Linked DNA regions of Ovis aries. The protein of the gene in region 2 purifies or fractionates together with the protein of the main gene of each other region. This does not show direct contact. Links are inferred from orthologs where the notes say so. Each region holds a gene or a part of one and is shown on either strand. Other genes may lie near its edges.

Evidence for each region. The genes of interacting proteins can lie anywhere in the genome.
Region 1: the proteins of NUDCD3 (region 2) and KLHL9 purify together in Homo sapiens (co-immunoprecipitation; 3 studies listed by BioGRID and IntAct, with this or other methods). This does not show direct contact. The link is inferred for Ovis aries from reciprocal best matches to the Homo sapiens genes NUDCD3 and KLHL9.

What each region holds. Positions count from the first base shown.
Region 1 is NC_056055.1:89,890,280-89,900,266, forward strand, and holds the start of KLHL9 (kelch-like protein 9), read right to left. Parts: upstream 4,997-9,987; 5' UTR 4,467-4,996; coding exon 2,613-4,466; 3' UTR 2,512-2,612; intron 1-2,511.
Region 2 is NC_056057.1:78,565,370-78,575,237, reverse strand, and holds the start of NUDCD3 (nudC domain-containing protein 3), read right to left. Parts: upstream 4,659-9,868; 5' UTR 4,627-4,658; coding exon 4,435-4,626; intron 1-4,434.

The DNA.
Region 1 (9,987 bases), on a different chromosome or scaffold from region 2:
ACAATAACTTACGTAACAGACAAATTATTTTTATAATCAGAAGACTTAACAAAAGTCAACTTTTGACCCTATCAGAAAAACTAAAACAAGAAATTAAAATTTAACAAAATGTTTTATATTGTTACAGTTTTTATCCTCTTTTAAATATTTTTCTACAGTCTAAATTTTCTGTAAAAAAAAAAAACAAAAAACCCAAAACTATCAGCTTGTTAAAACAGGTATCATCCCAATCATTTCAGTCATCTAAAATTTCCATATCTGTAAGGAAGGAATGCCAGATTTAATATATTTAATTAGCAAAGCACCAGTGAGTTGTTTTATGATTATCAAGAGACTTGTAAACTGCAGAAAATTATAAAGTAAAAGGATGAGAGGTGGGATGTGTGAGGCTGGAGGTAGGGGGTATAGGTGGAGCAGTTAACTTACCTGGATAAATAATATTTAATTACAAAACAACAGGGTCAAATGTAATAGAAGGCAGAAACCTTTTCTCAACAAGGAAAAGAAAAAAGCTTATGCAGAACAGTACCATTTCAGCATGTCAGAATTAGCGTCAAAAATGACATAAAAAATAAAGGAAACTTGGCAAATTTATACCCAAAAGGTCAAAATGCAAAAGATGGACAAATTTGATCTCAAAAATTAACTGAATGTCCTGTCTTGTAAACTTCTAACAGACTGAGAAAAAAGTCAATGCAAGCAAATGCCAGTTAAATTATATTTATTATATAAAGATGCTATAACTTGATATGAAAAAGAAAGCAACTCCAATAGGTATTACAAGAGCAAAGGATATTAACATTTGGTTAAAGAGGAACACAGCTACTGAAAAAATGCAAATATTTAACCTAGTTAATAATTAAGGAAATAACTGAGATGTTCTTTCTTGCTTATTTGATGCATGAAGTTATTACAATTTCTACTTTTTCTATTTTCTAAATGTACTCACGTGTGCTATATTTAGTAATAAAAAATTGAGTCATTTAAAAAAATAGGAAGTATGAAATTTTCTGCCAATGCAGAAATCATTAAAATGAAAAGGGCAGTGAGGCTCAGATCCCTTGAAGCCAATTCCTTTCGTTTTGGTTCCTGAGATTGTCAATAACAAGGTTGTTTCTGATTTACACTATGACAATCTCCCAAGTACAGGGATATAAATATTAATATACATGTAAATGTATGTATATAAATTTTTTCTTCAGGCAGGCAATTATTCCAGGGAAGTACCTCTTCAGATTCTTCAGAATCACTCACTTCAGAGGACACATATGATTCCATTTGCTGATAAGGTCCCATTAAGGTCTCCCCTTGTGGTTCTCAACCGGTAGGGACACCTCTGGTATTGAAGAGGCTGAAGATATATTTTAGTACTGCCTGCAAGACAACAGTGTCCTAGGCTTTCTATAGCTGGCTTCTTAGGGAATCTGAAGTTGGTCCTGTCCTTCAGACATAGCCAAAAGGACATTTTCTGATGTGATGCCGAAAGTACATCTTCCACTTGCTCAGATCACAGCCTCAAGACGGATCACACAAAGCTGGAGCAGCACCACAGCAACCACCTCAAATCAAATAGTTATGTCAGAATGACTAAGTTGAGAGACCGAACTTAAAAACCTACAGCTTTGTTGAGCATGCTTTTGTCTTTTTCTTAAGTTTTACTGAACACAAATGTGGAAAGTAGCAGAGCCTAAATTTACTGAGCAAAAACAATTCTCTGAGACTTGAACTCTGTTAAATAATCTGTATAAAGGCAACTCTACAGAAAACAATATACAAGCAGGAAAAGTTAAGTTTCATCTATAGTAATGATTCAGTCAAATGACCTATTTGGTTATTAATAATTTAATGTTCAAGTCCTTATCTACATCACTGCAGTAAGACTACATAGACATTTATTCTCTAGTAGTGAATTCCCATTTGAATAGAAATAGCTGCTATGTAGAAGAGTTTAAATTTACAATTTACTATAGCTGAAGTGCCAATCAATTTAAAAATTATATATGTATATGCATGTATATACATATGTATGTGTGTGGTAATGTATTTTCTCTCTTCCTCTCCCCAGAAAGAGATATGAAACGCTGACTTGGGGTTATACTAGTTTTTGAGTTAATATTCCTCCAGTCTGCTGAAGAATTGTCACATATTCTGAATGTACCCACACAATTTGGTGAGTCAGCAGCTATGTCACAAACCATGAAAAAAGGGAAGCAGCTAATAAGGCTTGACGACCTTTTTTGTTTATTATTTTAGGTTATAGTAGGCATCCTCCCTTTGATGTCTTGTAGTCAAAGATGAAAACTTTCAACTTTGAAGCATAATGAACATAATTATACATTTACTTCAATCACCTACACTCTGCCTTACACAACACCACAAAAAGATATCTAACAATTTTTCTGCTTTTTACATTTGTTAAAATAGCTATGTTGAACACATACATTTGCAGAATACAGTTGTTAACCATTTGATAAACATACTAAGCCAAACAATACAAATAACATCAATTACCTTTTTAATCTAATAACTGTACCAATCATTGTAAGAAGATACAACTGAAGGGGAATTACGGGATCATCCTTGATGCACTGCAAAGGTTTTACACCTTGGTCCTAAGAATGATCTGAAGGTGCTGAAAGAGGTGATTCTCTGGAAGGTGACCCAGGATTTTCTTCAGGTGGAAAAACTGTGAGAGTACAAGCTCGAATGCCACCAAGTGACTCTGGAAGGTCAAAAACTTTATGCCACTCATCCTTTTCTGGGTCATATTTCTGGACAATTTCTACCATACAACGATTATTCCAAGAATATCCACCTACGACATAGATTTTATTTTCAAAGACAGCAACTCCAACATCACTTTGACCTCTTAACATGGCAGCAATTGGTGTCCACTGGTCAAGAGTTGGCGAATAGTATTCACAGCTTAGAACATCATCATAATCACTTGTTCCTCTGAAGTGATTGCCACCAATGACATAGAGCTTGTCTCCAACTGTACACATGCAATGCAGACCTCTGACTGTTGTCATTGGAGCCTTCTGTGTCCATTTGTCTGTATCAGGGTCAAAACACATGAGCTCATTTTGGAAAGTGTCATGAGTAATTCCTCCTGAAATATACATTAAGCCTCCATACACTGTTCCAGCATGGCCATAGTGGGGTTCACTCATTTTCGCAACATAGCTCCACTCATTCATTCTTGGATTGTAACATTCTACAGTGGCCAGCTCACCAGCTGCACTTCGCCCACCAACAGCATACAAATGTCCTTTGAGGGCGCTCAAGTGGAAAAATGTGCGCTTTTCATTTAATGATGCAACCTGCATCCATTTATTATATCGAGGATCAAATCTGAAAACTGTATCAACAGCAGTTTTTCCTTTTGTATCATAATTACTTTGACCACCAACTACATAAAGAAAGTTTCCAATGACAGCAATGCCATGCTGGTAACGAGGAGCATCCATGGGGGCTAAAGATCTCCACTCTTGAGCCCTCTCATCATACATCCGTAATTCTTTACTGACAACCAGCTGCTGCCTCAAAACTCCTCCTAATGTAACCAAGTGTGTCGAATCAGATCGAATGGCGGTTCTATCTGACTGCATCACTGGCTGCATATATGGCATCATTTGGTAATTGCTAGCTTCCAAAAGCAAATTCACACACGTATTGTCTGTTCTCATAAAATCTACTGTCTGCACATAATTGATGAGATCCTGTGGTGTCATCAGTGGAAATCGAATATTCTTCATTAATTTTGCAGCATAATCCATCCGAGGATCTTCCAACCTTAGCCAGCGACAGGCAGCCTTAAAGAGCTCAAGTTCAGTACAGTGCTTAAGGCTATTGCTAGAAAGCACAAAGGCAAGCCGTTCAAAAGGGAGTTTTAGAAACTCTCCAGTACTCAGTAAGGCAGGAAAATTCTTCAGAATGAAATTATTGACATATTTATCTACTTCTATAAGATTGTAGGTGTTAGCAATTCGTCCAACTTCAACACAGTTATCTAAAGAGACTCCTGAAATAAGAAACACTTTACAGAAGTCTAAAACAGGCAAGATTTGCAAAAAGCTGGCAGCTTCAAGAGTGTCCTGAAGATTGTCCATATTAAGAGAAAGCTTTGCAGTATAAATAAAATCAATAATTTTCTTCAGACCAACTTTGTTCACTCCGTGAAGCTTAATGCACATTAAATCCTGTTCTTTCATTCCACCTGTGAACATAGCCTTGAAGTAATCACTAGCGGACGCCATCATAGCTCTATGAACAGGGAAGATTTCATCTCCATCACCTGGCACCAGAGTCACATCACAAAGCAATCCTTCTATTCTAAGTTGATCAAAACCTTGCAGTACCACCGAACTGTGAGTATTGCTGGTAAAAAAACGTGTGGTTCCTGCCTTGCAAGGCTGTAAATGGGCGGAGACGCCCATTTCACCGTTACCAAGAGACACTTTCATGTGAACGCCTTCCTCTTGCACAAAGATGTATGCCGGACAAAGAGGTTACGACCGGAAAGCTTTAAAGGAAACGAGGATGTCCCAAGAGCAAGAGAGCTCGCTTTCCTTATCAAGGGCAAACTGTCACTGCAGCACGCCTCAGAACACAATAGTCCCACATTGAAAATTGTTCTGCAGCTGGCCCACAGAGGGCTGTGGACCTCAAATCTGACTACTATGTAGATGATTCATCACCTGAGGCAGTTAAGTGACCCGGTTCACCTGGTCCGGCCTGCGCTGCTCTTCCCGCAGTTCTGCTCCGGGCTAAGGGGGAGGTGCCGCCACGTCCTGCGGCCCGGCGTCTCGCTCGACGGCGAGGGCCGGCACCTCAGAGAGCGGCCCGCCGCGCCCTCCGCCGCCCTTTGAGCGTCGCCGCGGCTACCGGCCCGTCCTGGAGCAAGGACCTGGAACACGAGCCTGGGCCTGGAACACGGGCCGAGCTCCCAACGCCGAGCCGGTCCTTCCGGAAAGGCCTCGTCCCAGGATCCCCCGGGCTAGGAGCGGCCGTGGCAGCTACTGCGGCTGCGCAGCCGCCCGACCTAGCCAGTAGGCGGGCTTGTGTGGGGGATGGGAGGATGTGGGCCGTGCCTCGAGCAGGCGGGGTTTGGGTCGCGCAGAGCTGTGCTGGGTGGGCCAGCGGGGTGTCTTCGGGATACTTTGTATGTGGTATTATTAAATAGGAATGGGTGCCCGGATATTATTTTTAATATAACTCTTTCACTGCAGCTGAGCTGTTCCTCTAAATGAATACTTCGAGATTTACATTTCTTGGCTTCTGCCTTTTGGATAACAATGAAATGCAGCTTTTCTGGAAGCTGAAACCTGGCAGAAGGCTTCCTTAGGGGAAAGATGCTTTTAGTTTTCCTCTATAAAAAACAAACTTTATTAATTCTTATCCCACACTGGGAATGTTCTGGCAGGTCAGTGGTTAGGACTCGGCACTTTCACTGCTGTGGCCAGGGTTCAAACCCTGGCTGCAGACCAAGATCCCTCAAACTCCTCAACCAAAAAAAAAACCAACAAAAAACCTATCCCACACAATTTAATAGACAGTTCAAGTATAACTCTGGGTACATATTTTCAGATTTTAATCATTTAAAACAGGTTATTTGCCTCTCTTAAAATACCAAATTATGACCATGCTATGTAAATAATATAGGCTGAATTTTTGCCATGCAGCAGAATTCCATCAGTAAATTTTTCGTGCTTTTGTTTTCCACTCACAAGTTTTTAAATGGATAGACAATTGTCATTTGTTCCTGAATATATACTTCGTTGTTCTCCAATGTTACAGACTCCGAGCACAAAACTTCCCATTTTGGGATAAATCCTAATGTTAGAATGCTGCTTGAAGACATACAAAGTTTTTTGCAAAATATTGTCACCAGAGATGTTTTGAAAAACTACATATTGGCACTTTTCATTGGCACTTGCCATCTACCTCTACAAGGATTGAATAAATCTCTCCTGCTGTTGTAGCTGCTGACCTTCAACACCACCTGATGGGTGTTCAGAGTGGAGATCAGAAAGGAGGCACTCTTGTGCTCTGGAAAAACTGGCAGAACAGGTCTTCAGATAGATATTTTCAGGAGCTGATTTTAGGAGCACAATTTTTGCATCTCCTCATATCTAGAAAAGCACTAAATTCCTTCATGGTGATATCTGCTCCCTCGTGACTAGCAAAACCTTCTGCAAAAAAACATGCTTGATTGCATATACCCCTCTCTTCACTAAAATCACATATATACCAACCACCCCTCTACCTCTTTGGAGCAGCTTCCCAGAGTATGTGAAATGCTATCTCCAGGGCAATAGTCTCATTTTGCCCCCAATAAAACTTAACTCACAACTCTTTTTAAGTACTTTTTTAAAGTCAACACTTTGAGTGTATATTTATCCCACTACTGATCTTTCCCTTAATGGTTATTTTAAAACTTACATTTTAAAAAATTCAAATATAGTTGATTAACTTATATTTTAAAAATTACTAGTCAATTTAAATTTGGATATATGAATAAATGTATACTTTGACAACTGCTTCCAACACTTTCCACATTTTGAAGTTACTACTGTCTTATACATCCTTCCAGTTTCTTTATGTATCAGCTAACTGATGAAAATATGAAGATAACATACTATACTCACTGTTCTGCACCTATCTTTTTTAACCTGGAGATCTTAGTCATTTATAGAGAACTTCTTTATCTTTTTAAATAGCTGTATTGTTTCCTACTGAATGGATGGGTCCTACATTATTTGATTAGTCCCTAAAGATGGACATTCAGCTGGTTCCAATGGTCTTCTGTTGTTTCCTGCAGATGGCAGCAAGGTCCAAAAGGGTCACTGCTATGTTCCATCAGAAGCTTCAGCAAGTCTTCAAACTGTTCAGCAGAAGAGGTTGGTTGGAATGAGACCAGCATGGAGGAATTCTTCACTGGGTTTCATCAGCATGGACAAGTCCTGGAGGCCTGCTTGAAGCTGGAGACAGAAGAATTCCCCTGAACTGTGAAAATTCCAGAATGGTTGTGAAAAAGCACTTCCAAGCAAACAGTTTCTCTCTGGAAAAGAAAGAACAGAGCTGCAATACCTGGGAAGTTGTCAGAGCAAGAAATCATGAAATCCTTCTCTTTATTATCAAGCTTGCAAGAGAGTCTAAGAGCTGAGGAATTAGAGGTATGCTCTTAAACAATTACTGTGGATGGATACAATTCATCATACTCCCACATATTAGTAATTTCAAAAGCCTCTTTCTTTCTGCCTTCATCATAAAATAAATGGGTTAAATTTGTCAAAATATTTATTGGTAGTATTAAACAACTATAAGTAAAAGCATTTAGTTCATAGCAGGCACCAGACAATTGCAGATAATCTTACTAATGTACTTATATACTTAAATATTTTACTATATCTCTTATATTTCAGTATTTTTGTTTTGTGCTAATTACACAAGTGTTCATCTTTTTATTTTAAAATTATTATTTAAAGTTTTACTTTCAAATCTTTTTGCATTTGTTTCTCTTAAAGAAATTAATGTCAAGACTGATTTCACAAACTCAAAGGGTGGAACTGCAGTTCATTCATTCATTTTATTAAAGTTATGTATCTAAATCTCAGGTTTTATGCCTTCGAAGGATTAAAAGGTGAGGATGAAGGAAAAAATGAAATGCCAGCCCTCTTGGAACTTCCTTTTTTGCTAGAAGGAAACATAAAAATATTAATCAATTTGTTAATTCATTTCAACTACATTATATACAACTCCATAAGCAAAAGAAAAAGCTCTTGTCACCAGAAACTGGAGGATGCAGTTTCAAGAATCTAAGACTTGACACTGGATGTACAGTTGTAGAACTTAGCAGAGTGCTATGGCTAGAGTGCAGATGGTAACTATATTCCTATGGTGTAAATATTTGTCAACTTTATCTTTACAAACACCAGCTCATTTTCTTTATATTTTCTTCTAATGCCAGAATACTGAATATGTAGAACCAATTCTCACCCATTTTCATTCTTCTGTTGATCTTATGGATTATCAATTCCCTTTATGTTTTAAATCTTTCACATTTATTTTTATAGTACATGAGAATTTTTTTCATCTATGAGATGAGAATATAAACTTTGTGTCTAGATTACCAGGCATTTATATTGTAACCATGTATTGAAACTTTTTTCTTCCATATTAACATCTAAGATGTTACTTTCAAACTTAATTACTATAGATTATATAACAATTTCTGAGATTTTGTTTGTTTTTCTGTACCATGCAGCATGTGGAATCTTAGTTCCTGGACCAGGGATTGAACCCCAGGCCACAGCAGTGAAAGCACAGAGTTGTAACCACTGGAGTGCCAGGGAACTCCCCAGAGATTTATTTTCTCTATTACTCTGATCACCTAACTTTCCTTACTGTTACTGTGTTTACACCATTGCTGTTTATAATACAGTTCATTTTCTGGTAAAGCTATATATATGAAAAGAATTTTTTCTCGTATCTATACTTTGATATTTTTGTTTGGTGATCTTTCTTAATTAACTTTGGAATTGTTCTACAGAGGTCAGCATTGGCTTTATAAAATCAGGAAATTTTGTGGACTCAAAAATAATCATACTGTAGTAGATATAAAATTCTGAGGATTTTCCTTCATTAGATGGAAAAATGAAACTGGATCAGAGAATTTCTCTTCCCCAAAAATCTAAGGTAAAGAAAAAATAGATTAAAATCATATTACAAAAAATAGACTAAAATCATCAGAAAGTAAAGATGTAGCCACCAAAAAGAGAAGCCCAGGGAAAAAGAAAAAGAATATTTCTGCAAGTTAAAAAAAAAAACAAAAAAACCCACAGAAATCCAACATGTTGCTTAAAGACTCTAACTCACTGTCTGAGGTTCTGCATGAAACCTTATTCTGCTTGAAGGCAACTCAATTTCTTTGAGTCTCAGTTTCCTCAAGCGGAATGAACAATATTTGCAAAGCTGATGTAAGTACATTTTAAAGCTCTTAGAAAGCCCCTTCCTTGGAGTTAACAACAAGTAACTCTTTTCCTCATTTTCCCCATATAAACCTATATGAGAATATTTTATGTCTTTTTTTGATAAACTGGTTTGACACTGTTCCATTTCACTTTTGATGGCTGACTGACAAAGTCAACTGAATTGGTAAGAACCTTGAAGAGTGAAAAATAGATATGGTCATGTACACACTACTATATTTAAAATGGATAACCAACAAGGACCTACTGTATAGCAAATGGAACTCTGTTCAATGTTATGTGGCAGCCTGGATGGGAGGGCAGTTTTAGGGGCGAATGGATACACATTTATGTATGGCTGAGTCCTTTCGCTGCTCTTCTGAAACTCACAACACTGTTTGTTAATCGGCTATACTCCAATATAATATAAAAAGTTTTTTTTTTAAATAGATATGATCATATCAAAGACATATTTGATTTATATTGACTCAGCACAATGGCTTAAATCAATATCCAAAATTGAGAAGGGAATCTCCTAGGCTGGAATGGGAAAAACATCCCGTATTCTTTTGCTGATTCTGGAGCCTGGTCCACTTCTCTTGGCACATCTGCCTGGTTTCCTGGATCTATTCCTTTGCTTCCATATCGCAGTACTTTCCTTCTCCTTCAGGGCTGAAATCCCCAGGGGGCCCTCAGCTTTCACTCCCTTTACTTTCACTGCCCTTTCCTATTTGCACAGTCACTTCCTGTTCTGTTGTGGTTTCTGGCTTTAAGTTTTCTCAGGTGGACACAAATAGAAAGTTAAAGTTGCATGATATTTTCAGATTTTGTGGAAACACATGTAAGAGAAATCTTCCTTATGTTGAATACTTTTGAAAACATGAGGGCCCGCAGAGTTCAAAGGAAGCAGAAAGCGGAGTCCAATAACCAAGAGGTCTACAAAGCCCTCCCAGGAAAAGAAGCCCCATACGGTTCTTTCCTCCAACCTGCTGGGCAGACCCAGGGCTTCTGATTA
Region 2 (9,868 bases):
ACACAGTCACACCCAAAAAAGTGCTGCAACTCTCCATCCAAAAAGTGCACAGGAAAACGGCACTTTGCATGCACTATTCTAGGCTGCACATAACCCTGAAGTGTGGCCAGGACAGACCCAGAAGTGACAAGTCTGACAGGAAAGGCTGTGATAGATACATGTGATGCCATCGGAATGTGGGTGCAAACGAGCATTCTGGTGAGAGCGAGCTAAGGACATTTCTTAGAAGAAGAGGGTCTGAATCAGACCTTGAATGAGAGGTACATCTTCCAGAGGAAATGTCACAGCGCCAAGAGGTGGGCTCATCAAGAAGTATCTCTTATGGCAGCTGGAGACAGGAAAGCCAGAAGATCCACCTTGAAAAGTGGGTGGGAGGAGACCCTTACATTCAATCCAGCAACTATGCTCCTTGGTATTTACCCAAAGAAGTTGAAAACATGTACCAACAAAAACCTGTCCATGGATGTTTATAGCAACTTTATTCATAATAGCCAAAACTTGGAAGCAACCAAGATATCCTTCAATAAATGATGGGATAAACAAACTGGTACATCCAGACAATGGAATATTATTCTGCCATAAAAAGAAATGAGCTATCAGCCATGAAGAGGCATGGAGGTTATTTAAATGCATTATCAGTAAAAGAAGCCAATTTGAAAATGCTACACAATGTGTGATTCCAACTATATGACACTGTGGAAAAGGCAAAACTTTGGAGACAATAAAAAGACCAGTGGTTGCCAGAGGTTGAGGGCAGAAAGGAATGAACAGGTAAGACTACACAGGATTTTTTTAGGGGAGTGAAAATACTCTGTGTGATGTCATAATGAGGGATGCATGTCATCATACATTTGTCCAAACCTCATAAAGTGAACAACACTAAGAATACCTCCAAAGTGAAGTCTGGGTTTGGGTGACTATGATACGTCAATGCAGGTCCATCCATTGTAAGAAATGTACCACTCTGGCGGGGGATATTGACAATAGGGGAAGCTGTAGGGGTGGGGGTGGCAGGGGGTAAATGGGAATCTCTGTACTTTCCCCTCAATTTTGTTCTGAACCTAAAACAACTCTAAAAAGTAGTCTTAACAAAATAAAAATGTTTTAAAGTGTGTAGGAGTCAGTTTCCAAAGGGTTAGAATGCAGACAGGGGCTAAATAACTGCTGTGTGCACTGGGCAAGAAGACAGAACAAGAGAAGTTACAATGTCAGTGTTTTTATAAACATTCTCTCACAACCCTCAGGAAAATGCTGTTAGGAAGATAGCACTGATATTCCAAAGATGAGGGAAGACTAAGCTCAGAGAGTACCTTGCCCAAGATTCTGCCAATGAAAGAAGAAAGTAAACAATTATACAGGAAACACATTAAACACTGAAAGGAAATGGAGGCAAAGGAAGGCAAGGGAAATCCTAAGGTTAAAAACTAGGAACAGTACCTATCTCTGCTTCTCCAGAGAACCTGAGCCCCTGACTCACTCCTCTCACACCCATGTCAATGACACCAGACACCAGACCCACTGCCCTCAGAGCCGTTCATCTTCCTGACACACCACATCTTCATCTTAACTCCAGAAAAGAAGTAACAGCAAGGGCTCGTTCCAAACACTGGGAACCTCCCTTGGACCCCAGGCCTCATACTCCTGATGACACTGTGGTCCACACTACCCTTGCTTACTGAGCATTCCTGCCTCCTCTAAGATGACACCTGCTTCACCTCTCACATCGCCGCTGACCTCAGCACTCATTTCAGAATGCTGGAATGCGGAGCTGGAAGACGTGTCCCTGACCTCCAATCAACCTTCTCAACTGACAGAGAGAAGAGTGATTCTCCCAAGACTTCCCAAGAAGCTCCGGGAGGAGCAAAAAGAGCTAGCTTTCCTGACTCTCACGGGGAGGTGGGCGGGGGGCGGGGGGGGGGGGTACCTTTTAAGCAGGCTTCCCAAACTGAACTCCAGAATAAACACACGTTCAACTGAAATGAACAAAATGTCAGTCTCAATTACTGTTTTCTTAAAATATACTTATAAATAAGGGAGTGGAATACAATTTCCACATGCATCTTTCCTGCTGAAGGTCCTTTAAACTGTACAGCCTGGCTGTGCAACCCCTTAGAACTGGGAGGAAAAGTTGAAGAAGGTTTAAACCACACAAACATCCCATACCCCCAAATATCAGGGGAAAACAGGAGTTCCAGAATGGAGCACTACAATACTGCCATCCAAACTCTCTTTGCCTGAGTTCTGAAGAGACCCCCAAGCACCCCACTGCCCAATGCCTCTGTGAATAAAAGAACAGCTCCCCAGGATTTACCCTGATTTACTCAACCAAAATAACCAGAGGATATCTTTTAAAGTTCCTTGGGCAATGCTGACGATTGAGAACCACTCTGAAAAAACACTACACTCCTCTTAACTACCTGCTAGAAATTGTCCCTCCTGGTTTCCATGGAACTTACTGCGCTGCCCACTTCCTTCCATCCCCCTCCCACTCCCACAGCCTCTTGCTTCTCCAGTTCCTTCTCTGGGGTCCTTCTGTCCAAAGGCACCTTCTCTCTGCCGTGCTCCTTCACCTTCAGCTCCTCTCCTTCAAACCACTCAGATTCTTCTACCTCCCATGAGATTCAGTCCCACAATTCAACAGCCTATGGACAGAGACTTCTGTCTGAAATCTCCAATTCAACTTGTCTAAAACTAAGCTTCTTCCCCTAAACTCAGGTGACAGTTCAGTGAATGCATTACCAATATTACAGTGCCCTGGACTGAAACCTTGGGTCACCGCTGGCCCATCCCACCTCTCTCTCTGCCTTGTTCCCCACCTCCACTTTATTAAACTGTTCACCAAGTCTTAACCTTTGAGAGTGTCTAAAACATAGTAGGTGTCTTACATACTGTTACCAGATTCATGAATTACCTCTGTCAGTTTACCTGTAAAACAAGGAAAAAGATCAACCTATTCAGGTTGTTAGGAACAAATGACAACCTAGAACAAAAATTACATAACAACTACTAGGTGCTCAGTAAATGGTCCTTTCTTTTTTCTGCAAAAGATCACCCTAGACAAAAGTGTTGCCACTCTACAATGGATTGGTTAAATAATAGAACAGAAAGATATGGAATCAGAAAAATGAAGTTTTGAGCTCTAGCTCTATGATGAGTTTGGTCAAACCACTTGATCTGCTGAACTAGCACCCTCATTTGCCACATAAAATTCATCCTTATCTACTTCACAGGCTTCCGGGAAATTATTAATTTGCCAAAGGATTTGCTAAAAACCATCTCTGACACACAGTTCTCTGATCACTTGGATGGTACTTAACCACTACAAGGATGAGGAACAGCCTTAAGTTTTCAAACTGAATACCAACCTCACTCCTCATTTGACCATATTATCTCTGGTAGTTATTCAAACATTCTAAGCTTTTGTTTCTTCATGCAGGCACTTAGGAAAGTAATATCGGGCCAACCTGAAGCGAGTAAAAAGACTTCACGAGATAAACCTTTGAAATCACTTCATAAACTGTAAAGTGCTAGACGACAGTGAGAGGTATCGCCAGCATTTCCACCTTCTCAGGTTCCTGGCTCAATGCTTGACTGAGTATCCTCTGTCGATCCCATCAAAATTCCACCTCCTCTACAAAACTCGTCTTCATTTCCAAAAGATCATTTCTATTCCCTTCCTTCCAATGGCTTTGTCAGGTAACAGGCAAAGATCCCTGCTACTGTATTTCATCTCTTTAAATATAGCGTAAGTGTCCCAAGCAGAGAAACCATTATTTAACCATCCGCATAACCAGTGTATCTCTAATGCCTGCAGCGGCTGAGTGTGAACTCTTGCTTATTACATTTCAAATACCCCGTCAACTACAGTGAATGACAGCCTCCAACAATAAGCTTAACCTGGGATGCACACATATATGCTCATATGTAAACTTATTAAGTACTATTATACTATGTCTTCGATGTAAAAAGTCACATTTCAAATAAGAGACCCACACCCATCATACAGCCTCCCTCTCGTCCAGTAGTCGTAATTCTGGGGTGTGCAGGTGTCCGTGCTGCCGCCGCCCCTTCCCCAAGTCTAGCCTGCAGTTTTCATTCTCTGTCACTCGAAGGGTTACGCGCTGCTGGAGCTGACCGGAGCCCTAAGCTTCTGATATCCAAATGCACCCTATCGGACCAAGCTGCTATAGAGCCGGCACCTCTCGCACAGGAGTAAACTGATAACAGACCAGCATCTCGGCAGAAGCCGCGGCCGCAGAAGGCGGGTCGGGGGAAGCGCCAGAGGATGAACTGAGGCCGGCAGCGGAGGAAGCGGCGGGCTCGCAGGAGCCTGAGCTCCCAGAGGGTGGGAGACTACGGGAGCGGGTTCGCGGGGGTCGGGGCTCCCACGATCTTCCCCACCTCACCCCAAGCTTCCCGCCTACCGCGCGTTACCTGCAGCACCAGCGCCTGCGCGGCCCCCGGGGGAAAGCCCATGCGGTCCGACGGGTGGCGCAGCAGGCGGTAGAAGTCCGTTTTGCGGTAGAGGAAGCCGAAAAGCACACGCAGAAAGTCCTGAACGTTGCCCACGTGCTGCAAGATGCCCAGCAGGGCCTGATCGTACAGCTCGGCCGCCCCAGGCTCCATGGCGTCGCCGGCCGGAGGAAAGCTCACTCACTGCGGGCGCGGCCCGGACGCCGGCCTATGGCCACTTCCGGTGCTCTGCAGTAATGGCCTCGGCCGCTAGCGCGCCCGGGAAACTTCCGGTCCGCTCTTGTTCGCCCCCGCGGTGGAGCTGGGCTGGACTGCGCTGGAGCCGACTGGACCCGGGCACCGCCCCTACTGCCCCCGGGCTTCTCGGGCGGTCTCGCTGAGGAGCAGAAGGCCCCGAAGCGCAAGAGGACCCGGGGCTGCGGCATTGAGGGCGCCTAGTGGCCATGTTGGAAACTGGCGGAAAAGTTGTAACGCGGGCAACAACTGTTACGTGAGCCACGCTGTTGTCACGTGGTTTGTGGGCTGTGTTCCAGACTGGATGTCCAGAAACAAGGCGGGACAGCGAGAACATTTTGCTTGAGAGTCCAAAGAGGAAAATGCGACCTTTCTGTTGGTGTGTTTCCCGTTACTAACATAGTCGTGAGTGAAATGCAAGGTGATGTGCATAAATAAAAGAAGACAAGATTGTCAAGTGAGTGCATGTACCAGTATTAAATGGACAGAGCTAGATGCAGAATAGAGAATCTGGTGTGCCATCCTGTGAAATATACATATACGTATGTATATATGTGTGTGTGTAGTATATATGTGTACGCACAGTATATATATACTCACACAGCATGTATACGTGTTCTAAGGGTCTTTCAAAGCATAATCTGAAAATCGAAGCATAACACTCAAATATATAATGAACACATCAGAGATTTATCCATTTTAATTGACAGCTTTTCGAGAAACTGGGTATTTATAACTTTCAGAAAGCAGTAAGATGGCTAGATTGTATACAAAGCTGGCTGGTGTCCTATAAAATGGTGTAGATTATCTTTCCTAGTGGATGGAAATGATTTGCATCTCTACTGGCCTGAGATCTACAAGTTAACATGTTTCTTCATAGTATATGGACTCTAATGAATTGTAAATAAAGTCAAACTCAGATAAATTGCTCTAGAGCAGTGATTCCGAAACTTTTTGGACTTAGGACCTATTTACAGGGGATTCCCTGAGGGTCCAGTGGTTAGGACTCTGCATCAGAGTGCCCAGGTTCAATCCCTGGTCCAGGAACAAAGATCCCGCAAGTGTGGCCATGGCCAAAAGGAGAAAAAAAAGACCCATTTTCATTCTTAAAATATATCAAAGATTCTTTGGAGTCTTCATAAATTTTATGTGTGTTATGTTTATTGATAGTTACCATATTGGACATAAAAACAAAATGTTTAAATATTTATTTATGCATTTTAATATAATAAAAATATGTTAACATTTTTGTAAAGAAGTAAGGTCCTTCGCAAAGAGTCGGACACGACTGAGCGACTGACGGAACTGAACTGAACTGAAGGTTCTTCAGAGCAGTAAAAGTTTATGAGAAACAAAGCATCCTTTAAAATTTTTGCAAATCTCTTTACTATCTAGCTTAATTGAATCGATGACAGCCAGATTCTCATATCTGCTGCATTCACTGCATTGCAGTATGGTATTTTGATTGAAGTATGAGAAACCCAGTCTTATACAAATAGCAGTTTAATTGGCCTTTTCAAATAAATGTATTATTCTTGGAAACTACACCAACATTCAACAAATTGTAGTTTCTTAAAGATTAGTTGCACTGTGAAATCTGAAATTGTATCAATAAACGTCTCCTACTTTGTCACATTAATATCCATTGGTCTGTCCTAATAATTTGAGTGGATCTTTGTTCACAATCTAGTCTCTGTATACACAGAGCAAGGAGAGATGGAAGAAAGAGGCAGACCACTTCAGACTGGTAGGTAGGTTTAATAAGCAAGGACAGTTACTTGTCCTAGGCAGCCACAAGACCAGTATATTTTCACGTCCACTCTGCCAGAATCACAAACGTTTATACAGACACCTTAACTGGGTTCAATCACATACACTATCCAGATGGTCTCAAAAACACCTTCCTTTCTCCAGGTGTTGAGAGGAAGATGTTGTTGAAAACAACTCTCGCTGTGGGAATGGTAGGCAGAGCATACATTACAAGGACAGAGGAAGAGGTGAGGAGTCTCCCATTGCCTGGGTCTAGCTAGAGGGTCAGCCAGGGATCGTGTTCCCCTGAATACCCCCAACAAACTTTTACACACGTGATTTTGTAAAATCAGAATGGAAGAAGGAATGTGATGCAAGAATCTAACTATATTAAAAATGTATAAGGGCTTCCCTGGTGGTCCAGGGGTTAAGAATCCAACCAATGCAAGAGAAATGAGTTCAGTCCCTGGCCCGGGGAATATTCCACATGCTGCAGAACAACGAAACCCGTGCCCCACAACTACTGAACCCACACACCTAGAGCCCGTGCTCTACAACCACAAGGCACTGCAATGAGAAGCCCATGCGCCACAACTAAAGAGTAGCCCCCGATCTCCGCAACTAGAGAAAGCCTGAAGACAGAAACAAAGACCTAGCTCAGCCAAAAATAAACAAATAGATATTTTTTTAGTGTATGAAGCAGCTTCTCTGAAAGGGATACTGACCCCATCTGAAAGATGCTAACCCAAGTAACTTTGGAAAGCAATGGTGTCTATAAGACTAAAGGCAAAAGGAATTGCATGTAAACACTAAATTCTAAAGTTGTTTTCCACAGGAGTGTAGGTTATCATTTCTCAGACTCCTGCGTATGTATAAAGGTAATCAACAACTAAGTAAATGGTGAGGGTTATGGAGCCCGGCTTCTCATTAGTGGCATGAGAGGCTACAGAGAAGCAAGAAAGAAACCTAGAATGATTCATGTGGTTATGGGTTAGAACTGGAGGTATCAGCATAAACTCCTGTTTAGCTTAGTGTAGATACAGATGGCTTTTCATAGAAATATTTCTAGAAATGTGTACATATACAGGTCAGTATTCACATATGTATGCCCTTGCTCTCTCAGCTGAGAGGATCAGAAGCAACAAAGCCCCAGCAGCAACACACACTGAATACCCAGATCCTGATTTCTAAGCTTATCTCCAGATGAAGGACTGGAACTCCTGGGAGAAATGGCTGACTCTAGGACTGGGATAGAAATATACAAGTTGAGCTTATACCATCTTATAATGCCAGGAGATACGGAAGTGCTCAAAAAGGGAGGGAAAACCCACAGTGAAGGGAATATGTCAGAGGGACCTAGGAGCCAACTGGAAGAGTTCCCAATGGCGAAATGTGGAGCAAATAGTCACTATATTAAGACCCAAAGTTAAAAATGAGCATCCTTGGTTCCATACTGATAAAGATAGCATACTGAATAAATAATAAATGGAGGAGAACAATTTTCCTGTTCAGAAGAGTTCCAAATCATTTATGTAAACACTCCACCCTCTAGGAAGTAGAGCATAACCACTCACCCTTAAGTGTGGGCTGTGCATAGCAATTTCCCTGCAAAGAGTGCAGCATGCAAACAGGTGCAAGATGAGTGTACAGAGGAGATGCCTGGCCGCCACAACCTCAGCCAGGTAGTTAGGGTCAGTATGACAGCAACAGGTTATGGTGACTGCAGGCACCCTTGACACGATGGGCTGAGACCAACTCTCTGCCTCGTGGTCTCCCTCTGAAAAACCCATCACCTTTGTCTAATCTGGAGAAACACTAGACAAATCCCATTTGAAGGACATTCTTTAAAATACCTGACCAGTCTTCAACTGTCCAGGTCGCCAAAAACAGAAAAGGAGAGCCTGAAACACTGTCACAAATGAAAGGAGCCTAAGTAGACATAACAACTGAGTGTTGTGGAGTGTCCTGAACAGGATCGTGGCTCAGAAAAAGGACCCTGGGTAAAATTATGGAAGTCTAAACAAAATATGGATTTTTGGTTAGTAGTAATTATCAGTACTGGTTCATTCACGGTACACTGACAAGTGTATCACGCTAATGTGTTACTCGAGTTAATTTTGGAGGGTGGGCGGGGAGCATACAGGAACTCTGTATTATCTTTGTAATTTTTCTGTAAAACTATTCTATAATAAAAAAGTTTTCTTTTAGAAAAGTGTTTTTTAAAAAGGGATAACAATCTATAACCCCACTCCCCTCCCTCCCAGAAACAAGTGGAGCGTTGTGTTGGTATTGGTGCAGGGAAAGAGGCACCCTGATCCCCTGCTGGTGGAGGTATGAATAGGGCAGATGCCCTGGAAGGCACTAGTCTGTATCCATTCAGTGCTACAGCGATGGTAGCTCCCCACACATAGACAGGAGACGTGTAAACACCTACTCATCACACAGGTCCATGGTTCCATACCTGAAATCCCTTAAGGGAGCTGAATTTCAGAATTTAGGACATTTTTTTAGAAAGGTAATTTGATGCTTACAGTACATTAGATATTAGACCTCATCAGGATCTGGAGTAGCAACATGAAATCAAACTTGTTAATGTGCTAAAATATATGACTATTCACATCAAGTTGGTTGAAGAGTGTAGGTATCCTATTTATGAAAAAAAAAAAAAAGAAGAATTGTGTCTGACTTTGCAACCCCATGGACTATAGCCCTCCAGGCTCCTCTGTCCATGGAATTCTCCAGGCAGGAATACTGGAATGGGTTGCCATTTCCCTCTCCAGGGGATCTTCCCATCCCAAGGATAGAACCTGAATCTCCTGCATTGCAGGCAAATTCTTTACCATCTGAGCCACCAGGGAAGCCTGTTTATAAAGAGTATAAATAGATACATGGTGTCTGATCAGTCTTTGCTACGAAATGAGTTTGTCCAAAACTTACAAAAGAAAAAGACAAACGCACTAGGTTTTCAGAATTCTGGGGGTTCTGAAATTCCACATAAGTGACTGTGGACTTATAGCAGAAAAATAATTGAGGGCAATCTGATTGCCCATTAGCAAGGGAATGGATAAAAAACATCCTGTCCATTCACACAATGGAAAGCTGTCTCAGTTAAAATGATTGGACTACATCTCCATGTATCGACATGAATAAATTGAAAAAATGTATGCTGCATAAAAAAAAAAAAGCCTCATTCCAAAAGGATAAGTCACGTATGGTATCAATTAGGAAAATTATAAATGTGAACGAGTAAGTTGTTCACATATATGGAACTAAAGTTTTAAAACTTGCATGAGGAGGACACATGTTAAATTCAAGAGATGGATTTGGACCAGGTCACACCCAAGCCATCACGTGCCACCTGCATCACAATCAGTGTCCTTATGGATGAGATCTGGTGGCCAGAGGGTGACCG